3 linked regions of the Alligator mississippiensis genome follow. The protein of the gene in region 2 purifies or fractionates together with the protein of the main gene of each other region. This does not show direct contact. Links are inferred from orthologs where the notes say so. Each region holds a gene or a part of one and is shown on either strand. Other genes may lie near its edges.

Evidence for each region.
Region 1: the proteins of VDAC1 (region 2) and BCAP31 purify together in Homo sapiens (affinity purification with western blotting; 3 studies listed by BioGRID, with this or other methods). This does not show direct contact. The link is inferred for Alligator mississippiensis from reciprocal best matches to the Homo sapiens genes VDAC1 and BCAP31.
Region 3: the proteins of VDAC1 (region 2) and cytochrome b-c1 complex subunit 2, mitochondrial fractionate together in Homo sapiens (co-fractionation; 3 studies listed by BioGRID, with this or other methods). This does not show direct contact. The link is inferred for Alligator mississippiensis from reciprocal best matches to the Homo sapiens genes VDAC1 and UQCRC2.

Annotation. Positions count from the first base shown.
Region 1 is NC_081831.1:28,920,122-28,923,863, forward strand, and holds the start of BCAP31 (B-cell receptor-associated protein 31), read right to left. Parts: upstream 2,382-3,742; 5' UTR 2,289-2,381; intron 1,219-2,288; 5' UTR 1,186-1,218; coding exon 1,094-1,185; intron 678-1,093; coding exon 577-677; intron 1-576. Other genes in the region: ABCD1 (ATP-binding cassette sub-family D member 1), read left to right, coding at 2,836-3,742. UniProt on the Homo sapiens protein: Functions as a chaperone protein. Is one of the most abundant endoplasmic reticulum (ER) proteins.
Region 2 is NC_081832.1:69,787,391-69,791,132, reverse strand, and holds the start of VDAC1 (voltage-dependent anion-selective channel protein 1), read left to right. Parts: upstream 1-1,001; 5' UTR 1,002-1,085; intron 1,086-3,742. UniProt on the Homo sapiens protein: Non-selective voltage-gated ion channel that mediates the transport of anions and cations through the mitochondrion outer membrane and plasma membrane.
Region 3 is NC_081836.1:46,316,923-46,320,664, reverse strand, and holds the start of cytochrome b-c1 complex subunit 2, mitochondrial, read right to left. Parts: upstream 2,131-3,742; 5' UTR 2,128-2,130; coding exon 2,008-2,127; intron 1-2,007. Other genes in the region: CRYM (ketimine reductase mu-crystallin), read left to right, coding at 2,373-2,545. UniProt on the Homo sapiens protein: Component of the ubiquinol-cytochrome c oxidoreductase, a multisubunit transmembrane complex that is part of the mitochondrial electron transport chain which drives oxidative phosphorylation.

The sequences.
Region 1 (3,742 bases), on a different chromosome or scaffold from region 2:
TTACCCCCCAGGGTGCATGCAAGGGATTAACCCCTCCAGAACTCCCAGACCCCCCTTGAATGCCCCACCAGGTGCCCCACCATGGGGAGATTCCAGGCCATTGGCCCTCAAAAAGGGTTAAGTTGCAGCCAAGGGCAGGGTTTGAAGGCAGGAGAAACCAGGCTCTGCCCTGCATGGGAGGGGGCAGGGCTAAGGTACCCCCTAAAACAGTGGTTCTCAACCTTTTCGGACTCAAGCCCCCTCCCCCAACTCCTGACCTGCACTTCCCAGCCCTGCCGGTGACCCTCACTCCCCAGCCCACAGCCCTCCACCCCTGCCTGTGCCTTTTACTCCCGACTTGTAGCACCTCACCCCCTGGTGGGAAGGTCCCCTGCTCTAGCCCAGCCCAGAGACTTAGGCCAGGAGAACACAATCCCAGCTCCGACATCCAACCCCTACTTCCTGCCTAGACCCAGACCTCTGGGACCCCACTGGTAGAAGACTACTAATAACTGCATGCTAACCCTACAAAAAGCACATCTCCCATGACCTCACAGCCCCTCCCACCCCCCCATGTGACCTCACAGGACCACTTACCAATTAGAAGCAGAATGAGGATTACAATGAGAACTACGAAGAAGGTGTTCCCATAGGTCACCACGGCCCTCACTAAGCGGGACCTGAAGATTTTCTGCCACCTAGGGGGAAGAGAAGGAGGGGACTCAGGCCCAGATGCCTGGGTTCTCCAGAGCTAGAAGAGCAGCAGTGTGCCTCTGGATCACCCCACCCCTGCTCCAACCCATGGACCCCTCTGAGAACCCAGATATTTGGGCTTCCAACCCCTCCTGATCCTAGCTCCACTACCCAGCTAGGGAATGCAGCCCCACCCTGCTTTAAACCCCCCCCCCCCCCCCAACCCCAAGAGAACCCAGATGTTCAGGCTCCCAGTCCCATTGCCCAGGCCCACTACCTGCATCCAGGGAACCCAGGTGTCTGGGTTCTTACCCCTAGGCTTCTTTCCCCACACAGAGAACCCCAGCTCCCAGCCCTGCCCCCCCCTGACCCATACCACCCCCAGAGAACCCAGGTGTGGGGGAGGGGGGGGGAATCTCACCTGGTTGCAGAGATGAAGGGAACACAGAGCAGCAGCACAGCAAAGACCTCAGCATAGAGGAAGGTGGCCACAGCAGTCCACTGCAGGCTCATGGCGGTGCTGGAAGGGGTTCTGGGGGGGCAGCACTAGCCCCCCATATTAGCCAGAAGGCCAGGGACACCCTCAGGCTCCCAGCCTCCCCCCCTCCTCTCTCCCTGCAGAGAACCCAGGAGTCTGGGTACAGAGTCTCCCTCAATCCTCCCAGGCAGAAATCAGACACCTGGGCTCCCACCATGGGTCCAGAATTTTTGTTGGGGGGGGGTGGGGGGAAGAGGGAAAAGAGTTGGGGTGCTAGCCCCAGCTTAAGGGAGGGGGGACTTGGAGGACTCAGGGTAGCCAGGCCCCACCATCCTGGGATGCTCCCCTGCCTCCCACCCAAGTCTTCTGATGTGGCAGGCCCATCCCTTCAATGCAGCACCTCCCCCCACAGCTCATTATCTAGCAGCCCCTGGACCAATACAACCCCACATGACAGGCCTCCCACTGCAACACCCCCTGCTTACTCACTATCTGGCAGCCCCTACCCCATACACCCCTCTGAATGGCTCACTGTTTATGACTCCCCCAAGACTTGGGGGCTGGCAGCCACCATTGCTGTAGTACCCACCCCCAGCTGTCCTAACAGCTCACTGCATGGCAGCCTCTGCCCCACTGGAAGTCCTGAATGGCTCATTTCAGAGCAGCCCCTAGATGGCTCATTATGCAGCAACTGCCTATGGCTCAGTATTGCAGCACCGTCATGGCTCAGGAGCTTTATCTCTGGCAACCCCTACCCCACCGCAACCCCTCAGAGCAGGGGCAGGCAATTATTTTGGGCAGAGGGCCACTTACTGTTTTGACAAGCCATCAAGGGCCACATGACAGGCAGCCAGGGGCAGACAAATATTAATTTTCTAAAATTTTTAGGGGCCACGTGGGCCAGATAGAACGGCCTCGCAGGCCGCATTTTGCCAGCCCCTGCCCCAGAGGCTCAACCAGTCAGCAGGCTCTCCCACGGTTGAGTGTGTGTGGCAGCCCCCAAAGCACCTGTCAAAGAGGCGGGACTCAGCCCCCTGCAAGCCCCCCCCCAGCCCGAGGCTTACTATGGGGCAGCCCCGAGGGCTCAGAACCCAGTAGCAGCAGACCCCTGCCCCACCCACCGCGCAACACCACTCACCCAGCAGGATCCCCAACAGCATCAACAACCTCCACACCGGGCCACGCCCCCCGCCCAGAAATAGGAAGTGGAGAGAAGCCCCACCCCCACCAGCCACCAATGCTACTAGAAGCGCTGTTGTCATCCCGCCGGAAGCACCACCCCTACCGGAAGCACTTAAATGAAGCGGCAGTAAGGTCACTATGACACCTATGGAGGCGAAAGTGGCCTCACACCCGCACCTTATGCTCTTTTACTCCCCGCCCCGCGCCACGTTTTCCCGGGGGTGGGACTCTGACCTCAGACTCCCGGATCCTCGGGCAAAAGTTTCCCCACAGACGGAAACCCACGAGGCTCAATCCAGAGTCACTCCGCGTTATCCCGCCCCCCCTTTCCGTTTTCGGTTGTATTGGGGCGCAAATCCGGAGTCGCTCTAAATCCGGTGGGGGGATGGGAACATATTTTCCCCGCAAGCCTTGAACCGCCGATCCCGGAGGCTTCGATGCCTCCCGCGGAGCCATAGCGCCTTTAGAAAAGCCGCGTCTCTGTGGTCCGGGTCGGTGTCTCTATGGTTAAAGGGGGCGTCTCTGTGGTCAACAGGGGCGGGGAGGCCGCAGGGCCCTCCCTTCTGCTCCCCCGCCCCCGTGGCCCGGGGGCAGGGCATTGTGGGATAAGGGCGGAACCGGCAGGCCCTGACAGCTCAGTACGCGCCCTACGGGGTAGTAGCCAGCATAGGGTGGGAGCCCAGGGCCCTCCTGCCATGGCACCTGCCATGCCCCGGGCTCGGCTCCAGCTCGCAGCTACAGGGGCTGCTGTGGCCTTAGCCACCACCGCTGCAGCTGTGGCCACTTGGCGCCTATACCACCACCGGCGCGCTGGGGAGCCCCCTGGTGGCTGGGAGGATTTTCGATGTGGCCAGAAGAGACCCCCTGGTGGTTTGGAAGACTCCAAGTCTGGCCAGACACCCCCTGGTGGCCAGGAGGTGACCCCTGCTGCCCAGGGGATGCCCCCCCGTGGCTGGGAGGACTCCAGCGGCAACCAGGAAACACCCCCTGGTGACCCAGAGGACCCCTTGCCCTCCTGGCCCTCAGAGCGGAAGGCCCCGGCAGCTGTGGATGCGGTCTTTGGGCGACGTCTGAGGCGCCTCCTGGCACTGGCCCTGTCAGGCCCCCTGAGCCCTGAGGCTGGGCTCCTGGCTCTGCACACAGCTGCTCTGGCCAGCCGCACCTTCCTCTCGCTCTATGTTGCCCAACTCGACGGGCGCTTGGCCCGGGCTGTGGTGCGATGCCGTGGCCGCCGCTTTGCCAGCCTCCTCTTGCGGTGGCTGCTCTTAGCCTTGCCAGCTACAGGTGTCAACAGTGCATTGCGCTATTTAGAAGGGCGGCTGGCCTTGGGACTACGAGGCCGGTTGGTAGCCCAGGCCTACGCCCTCTACTTCCAGGGTCAGGCATACTACCGGGCTAGCCACATGGATG
Region 2 (3,742 bases):
AGGGGGACCGCCTCTGCAGAAGCTTTCCACCTTGCCCTGAGGGTGGCGAGACTTAGGCTCTTGCCGGTCATTGGTAGCAGTGAGTTTCTCAGTTGAGGGCCTTTCACCATAAACACCCTTGCCTTTGGCTCTGAGAAGTTCACCCGAGGTTCCTGCTCGTCATCCTCACCATGGCTGCTTCATGACCTGGAACGGGAAGTGATGATGTAAAACGCAACTATCTCTATAACTTTGGACTTCGTCTACTTCCATATGCCCTTCTGCTTCTTCCACCGCTCCTGGGAGACGGCCAACACCCTTTAAATAAAACCCTCCGGCCAAAAATGCCACCGAGTCCTCTGAAACCCTGCCTCTCTCCCCCCGAGTACTGACACCACCCTGCTGTGCAGGGCCGTCCTTCGGGTACGGCGCGACCGCTCTGAGCCCCGGAGAGACTGCGGCCCCCACTGCGGGACCTGCCTGGAGCTGGCGGCTCAGCCCCGCGCCGCGGGAGAAGCACGGAGACCTCTCCTCGTTGTGGGGGTACCACGGCCCTGCCACCCTGCTAGGCTCGGCTCTGCTCCTGTGTCACCCTCAGCGCTTCCTTCTCACCCACGGCCCCGTCTGCCCACCGCTCTCTCTGTAGGCCCAAGGTCCGGTTTGACTTCTCCTCTTGATTCGGGACCACTTCGCCCCCCGACTCGACGGCCGTCTCCTGCTCTCGGCCGGCCTCTCGCGCCCACCGACCCTGCATCACCGCTCAGCAGGAAGAAGTCCCCATACCCCAGTGTCACCCCCCCGTCCCTTTCTTCCCCCCACTCCCTTGCTGGTGCTGGGCAGCTCCTTGGACCCCTGCCCCGGGGAGGGGGCAGGGGGAGCTTCCTTGTCGTCCAAGATTGGGGGGAAAAAAGCACATCCTGTTCCCCTTCCACCCTGCTGCGCGGTGCCAGGCCCGCCCGCATCCTCCCGGGCTCTGCCTCCGCCTCCGCCCTGCTCCTTCCTTTGCCCGCCCCCGCCGCTCAGAGCCCGGCTGCAGCCGCTGCAGCGCCCGTGCGAGCGAGCGAGCCAGCGAGGCAGGGAGGCGCCTGGAGCCCGCGGGGCCGCAGGTAACGGGGCCGGGGGGATGCATCCCGGGGCCGGGGTTCGCATGCGGGTCCTGCGCCGAGCACCGCGGGCTGGCGGGCGCGGCCCGGGCGGCGGCGCGGGCTGGAGGTGACCTTCCCGCGGCGCGGCAGGGCCCGGGAGGCCTCGCTGCCCTGACTCAGCCCCTGCGCCGGGCCCGCGGGGATGCTCCCCGCGCCTCTCCATCGGCCTCAGGCCCCAGGGAGCCTCAGCCCGCGCTTCTCCCGGGGGCCAGGCCGGGACACACGTTTCGGGGCCTGCGTAGCCCTGGAGGGGCTCATCCAGGTGGCACAAAGGTCTGTCCATCGCGTGGCCGCCGGAGCCCCCCTCACTTCTGCACGCGTAGCCTCGCCTTCGCCGTTCCCGGGTCCGGAGGGAGCAAAGGTCGCCGCGGCTCCACCCGCAGCGCCGGCCCAGCCGTGGTGTCGGCCGGTCTGACCCCTCGGTTTAGCCCGTCCGGGCCACCGCCGCCGCGTGAGAGACGCGGGCGAATCGGGCCGAGCGAGTCCTCGCCAGAGCGGGAGAGAGACCAGAAGCGAACGCGGGCAGCGCGCCCTGGTTGCGCGTGCCGTTCAGCATCGTGTCTTGGTTAATGTTAATCTGGGGCAAGGCGCCTGTCGGAGGTGAAGGGGTGCAGGTCGTAGCCGTGTTGGTCTAAGGACACGGGCGGACAAGGTTCTTTGGGTGAATCTCAAATCTTTTATTCGCCCAGCTTCAATAGTTGGAAAAAAATATTTAAGCAAGCTTTCGGGTTCGCCAGGCCGAGTCAGAGGTGAATTCCCTTTCTGTGGGGCAGGCACCGCAGTGGGGAGCAGCAAGCGAGTCTGCCTCTGCCTAGCAGCAGGTGGGCTGGAGATGTACCTTGCAGAGGGACTAAATCAGTGCCCTCGCCCCTCTGCCTAGTCACAGCCTGGCTTGGACCCACTCTTTCCAGTGGTGGTAAGGCGGCTCAGCCAACATGGTCCCTGGCTATTTGTTAAAGCAAAAAACCACAGCTCCAAGCGGAGCAGAATTCACCGACGCTGTTGGGTTCGGCCTCCCGGGATAGCAGTAAAACCGAGTCCATGTTGGATTTGATGTTGCCCAACAACGGCAGAAGCCATGTAATTCAGGTTGTATTGGAGGATCACAGAAAATTTTGTCTTCTCATTCATGTGACATTTTTCAGACTTTCTCTGAAGACCGACTTGTACACTGCAGACCTCTCAAAAATGCCACCCGGAACAAGAAAAAACAAACTTCATGCAACTCCCTACTTGTTCCTTTCATTTTTACCCATCCTTCTCTGTACTCTTTCTCTGTCGTCTTCCTACTCTTCTGTCTGATTGTATGGTGGGGCCTGAACGGGGTGGCCCGGATCAGTCTGTTGCTATGGCAGCCGGCGATGTCCCCGGTTCAGGGGGTGACTTTCCTGTAGGAGGAAATCTGCAGGATCAAAGCAGCGAGAAGGCAAATCCCAAACAGGAATTTTGGTGATTTAGCAAATGAAACGCACGCTCATATAAGATTAAATATGATAAATGCTTTTTTCTCCTGGGAAAGGAATCAGCAAAACAATATATGCTGGAGGACCAACATTTAATGGGTCCACTCCTCTGATGTGGGTGTGTGTAGATGACATGGTAGACATCGTATGGCATAAAGAGTGCCTGGTGCCCTTGTCAGGGTCTCACTGCTACCCCCTGTGTCTTGATACCTGGTGGCATTGTGCTACACTGGTGCTGTAACAGTGTATCTCCTAGGCTAGCTGGGCCTATTATTCCACTGTCTACCAGACTGGGGCAGGGAGAATTGTATCCCTGGCTTTGGTTTAATATATATCTTAAATCATACAAATAAACAGGAAAAGGCTTCAGTGAAATGAAGTCTGTATCTACTGCATTTTCACCTGTAGAATCAAGAGCAGACACTTTAAAAAAATTTCCTTAATTCCCTAAACACAGATCATTAAACTAGGTTTATACATATGTGCTAAAGGTCTCCTAAAAATGTTTATTATTTGATAAATCCTAAAGAGAGAGGAACCACTAGTATGTGGAATACATCAGTATTTAAGGCCTGTTTATTTGGTCTGTCATGTGTTGGTTTGGGGTGGTTTAAAACATGTGTGCTAGCTCAGGAAACTACCAGTGAGCCCCTGCAAACTGTTTCATGAAGTCCGTGGGGTGCTGCGGGGGCTCAGGAGCATGCTTGGGTACAACAGCTGGCTGGCTTCAGGCTTAAGTTGGAAGTCACTGTGGTGACTTAGTTATATGGCTTCAGTGGAGTTGTACAATTGTGCAGAGTTTATGCTTCAGCACTTAATTCATGTGTAAGGCAAAGCGTTCACAAAGTGTGTACCTAGCTCCAGATTCTGGAGAACCTGATGTGTGGGTTTAGTTGAAGACATCATTTCAGTGGTAGTGCTGGTGTTTTAAGTTGACCACATGCAGAAGTCGTGTCAGGATTTGGCCCATAGGGCCTGATCAATACCTGAACAGACTTGTTTTTTGGACAGGAGCTGTAGTTTGAGGCACTGATGGCTGTTTTCCGTGTAGATCGTTTTTCCATAGGAACAGAGGACTGAAAGGAGTGTCTCTGGCCACTAGATCCAGTCCCCTGCATTATCTGCAAGCAAACATTTACCTACAGGTGCCAAAAA
Region 3 (3,742 bases), on a different chromosome or scaffold from region 2:
TGGAGAGCTGCGTACAGCTGGTAAGTCTCTTGTGGTGGAAGGGGACGGAAGGGGTGTGGGGGGGGGTGCAGATCAAGGCCTCCACAGAGAAGGAGGGAGTGCAGCAGCGGCAGGGTGTGGGATGGAGGCACAGCTCACCTAGGGACCTAGGGGGGTGGCTCCCACCACTGTGTATACCCTGGGAGGGCACGGGGGATGGGAGGGACATATGCCCTAGATCTGGAGGGGGGGGGGGGGGAGAGGGAGGCTGGGCTAGACTGTGCTCGGGGTGGGTTGGGGCTTGCAGGCCAAGCCCTACAAGGAGGGCACCTGGACCTTTTCAGCCTCTGCAAGAGAAGGTTGAGAGGCGACCTTGTGGCTGCCTATAAATTCATCATGGGGGCACAGAAGGGAATTGGTGAAGCTCTACTCACCAAGGCGCCCCTGGGGGTTACAAGAAATAATGGCCATAAGGTAACAGAGAGCAGATTTAGACTGGACATTAGGAAGAACTTCTTCACAGTTTGAGTGGCCAAGGTCTGGAATGGGCTCCCAAGGGAGGTGGTGCTCTCCCCTACCCTGGGGGTCTTCAAGAGGAGGTTAGATAACCATCTGGCTGGGGTCATCTGAACCCAGCACTCTTTCCTGCCTATGCAGGGGGTCGGACTCGATGATCTATTGAGGTCCCTTCCAACCCTAACATCTACGAACGTATGAATCTCACAGTCCCTGTCCCAGTGCCATTGCTGCCCACCCTGAGTGAAGCCTGGCCCCACCCTGCCCTACACAGATCCAGGGTACATACCTCTCCCCCATGCCCTGCTGGGGTGCGCATACAGCAACAGGAGCTGCCTCCTCTTCCCCCCCCACCCCCCTCCCCCCCCAACAAGCCACAGCTCTGTTCTTCACCCTGCCCCAGCGCCACTCCCCTTCCACCACAACAGACTTACCAGCTGGACACAGCTGTATCAGAAATCGGATCAGTATTGGCTGATATACCTTCTTATAAAAAAACCAAAACCCCGCTATTGGTATCAGCTCCCAAAATCTCTAACAGTGCACTTCTAGTATCGGCCAATAGGGCTGGTCAACAATCACCCATCAGTATGGGCCCAAAAAATCTTTATCAGTGCGCTCCTAATTGAAAGGTCTCCAAACTGATGACAAACAAGGAGGAGAGCCTCCCAATCCATCTTAAAGAACCTACCCTGAGCTAACAAGCAGGACCAAAATTTCAAAATTGACATTTTTCACCCCCTCCCTCCCCCCGCCAATCTTCTTCAAAATCCTGAAAACTTTCAGGCTCAACTTTATTTCTCCACTTTTCAGGCTGTGAAGCAACGCTTGCTGCCACCGTGACTGAAAGCTGAAGAGAAGAAGCAAACTGAACCAAATATTACTGTTGCCCTAACAGGATCTCCGGGCAGAGACTCTGGCAGAAGGTCCCTACATATTCCTCGTGACACGGACCCCTGATAGGGATTCTGCCACAGCGGCTCCACCTCAAATAGACCTTCAGGGTAGGTTTTATCACAGTGAAGGGGATTGCAGACATCATTTAAAACTTCAGGCTTTTTCCTACTACTACTTTGTAGTTCAGTCACACCTGTAGCTGCCTGTCAGGGCCACAGTGGCAGCAAATATGGGGAAGGGCACGCGCAGCTAGAAGCGGTCACCCCCCGTTCTCCGGGGCCACTACACGGGGGTGACATGGGCAGGCAAGGAGCAACCTCCCCGCCACACGCTCGGCCCCGCCCCGCAGTCCTCGGCCGCCTCCCGCCGCGGGTGACCTTCAGCCGCGCGGCCCCGGCCCGGCCCGGCCCGACACCCAGCCGGGCTCGGCTCCACGCGACTCGCCAGGGGGTCCTACCCCTACCTCGGCCGCAGGGAGCTCGCAGCTGCCCCCGCCCCAGCGCCCCCTGCCCCACCGTCAGGCCGCGTCGCACCGTCTCCCGGCCCGAAAGGCAGCAGCGGCTCCTCCTCCTTCCGTCCCCGGCCCACTGCACTCCCCTATCCCGCCGTACGCACCGAGAAGGAGCGGGTTAAGGCCAGTAACCCCTCCATACTCTCCACACCCCTCGGCCCGCGGTGCCACAGGGAAAAAACAAAGATGACGGTAACAGGAGAACGACTCCGCCTCCCCAGCATACACCGCGTCGCTCCACCTCTCTAGCCACAGTGCCCTGGACTCTACTGCTCCGCGGGTGAGACGGGAGGAAGAAGGCCGAGCGCCCCCTACCGCGGCTCCTTGGGCACGTCCGGCATGCCCAGATGCGCGCATGCGTCAGTTCCGAGCCTCGCCCACCGCCGTGGGCCCACCCCCCACTCCCCAGCTGGGGGGCTACTTAGGGTGCAGCCCGGGGCCGCGCTTGGTTTGTGCAGCCGACGCCACCATGAGCCAGGACCCGCCGCTGTTCCTGGGCGCGGCGGAGGTGGAGCGGCTCCTGCAGCGCGCCAGCGATCTGGTGGCCCCGCTGGAGACGGCGCTGGCCAACTTCTCCCGCGGCCCCGCGGGGGGCGTCGTGCAGCCCGTGCGCACCGTGGTGCCGGTGCCGGAGCACGGCGGGTGAGCGGGGCTCGGGCTCGGGGGCGGGGGTGGGGGGACACAGCATCGCCCTGCGGAGCTGCGCTGAAGTTCAGCGGCTGCTGGGAGGGCCGGGCCCCGAGCAGGCGACTGGACCGTTTGCTGGAGACTCCTCGAAACGCGGGAGGTCGCGTCTAGTCCTGCTCCGAGCAGCACCTCCCCGGCTGTCTCGTCCCAGCCAAGGCTTTGTGGAGCCGGGACTTAAACACTTCTGAGGGTGGAGGAGATGCCACCACTTCTCTGGCAACCTGTTCCCACGTGTCACTACCCTTCTCCTGAGAGAGGCTTTTTTCCCTAATATCTAACCAGCAGTGCAGGTTTTTGGGAAATTTTGAAAGTTTTCCAATGCCCTAAATGGAGCGTGATCTGATGTAGCATGTTTGCTTGACTTAAAACTAAAAAAGTACCCCTTGTTTATTTTATGTCCCAGTATCCACAAGTATTCGAACTGAAATATTTGATTATTGGAAAAAATGAAACAGAGCACACTTAATGTGGATTAAATGTTATGTTCAAACAAATTCAAAACTTTGTGGAAATAAGTTATTTTTATTGGAATACTTGTAAAAATGTAAAGATGAGGTGCAATAGCATGTACTTCCCTGACATTGTTTGTTTAAATTTAAGATAAAAAACAAAGGTGCTGAAAACTGACACGCTAATTTTGGTACACGCTAAAAACTGTGCACGATGGGCTGAGCTTTGGGTTTGATTCGACCTGCACAGCCAATTAGGTGAATTCCTAATTTGGGTTTTAGTTTGGATTATTATGCCAGTGTATTTACCCTCCTGTTTACAAATCAGTAAAACATATGTACCCTCTCGCGCACTTCCTAGGGATAATCGCCTGAAAAAGATTAGTTACAACTTTGAAACTGCCAAACTTGCCTAATATTGTATTGGCATCCATTCACTGTTACTAATAAACATTATGAAACAATGAATTTTTAGAAATGCAAAATCTCCCATGGGAAAATAAAGCACTAGAACATTTCAGAAAATGTTCCACCCCATATTTAACCTAACTTCCCTTGCTGCAACTGGGGCAGTCTCAGGAAAAATCCCCTTGATCTCAAGAGGAGGAAATTCATCCCTCTGCCCCTGAAACTTTTGGATCTAGACCCTAACTCCCCTTGTGGGTCTTTCTGAAGAGAACCTGCCCAGACAGCTTGGAAATGG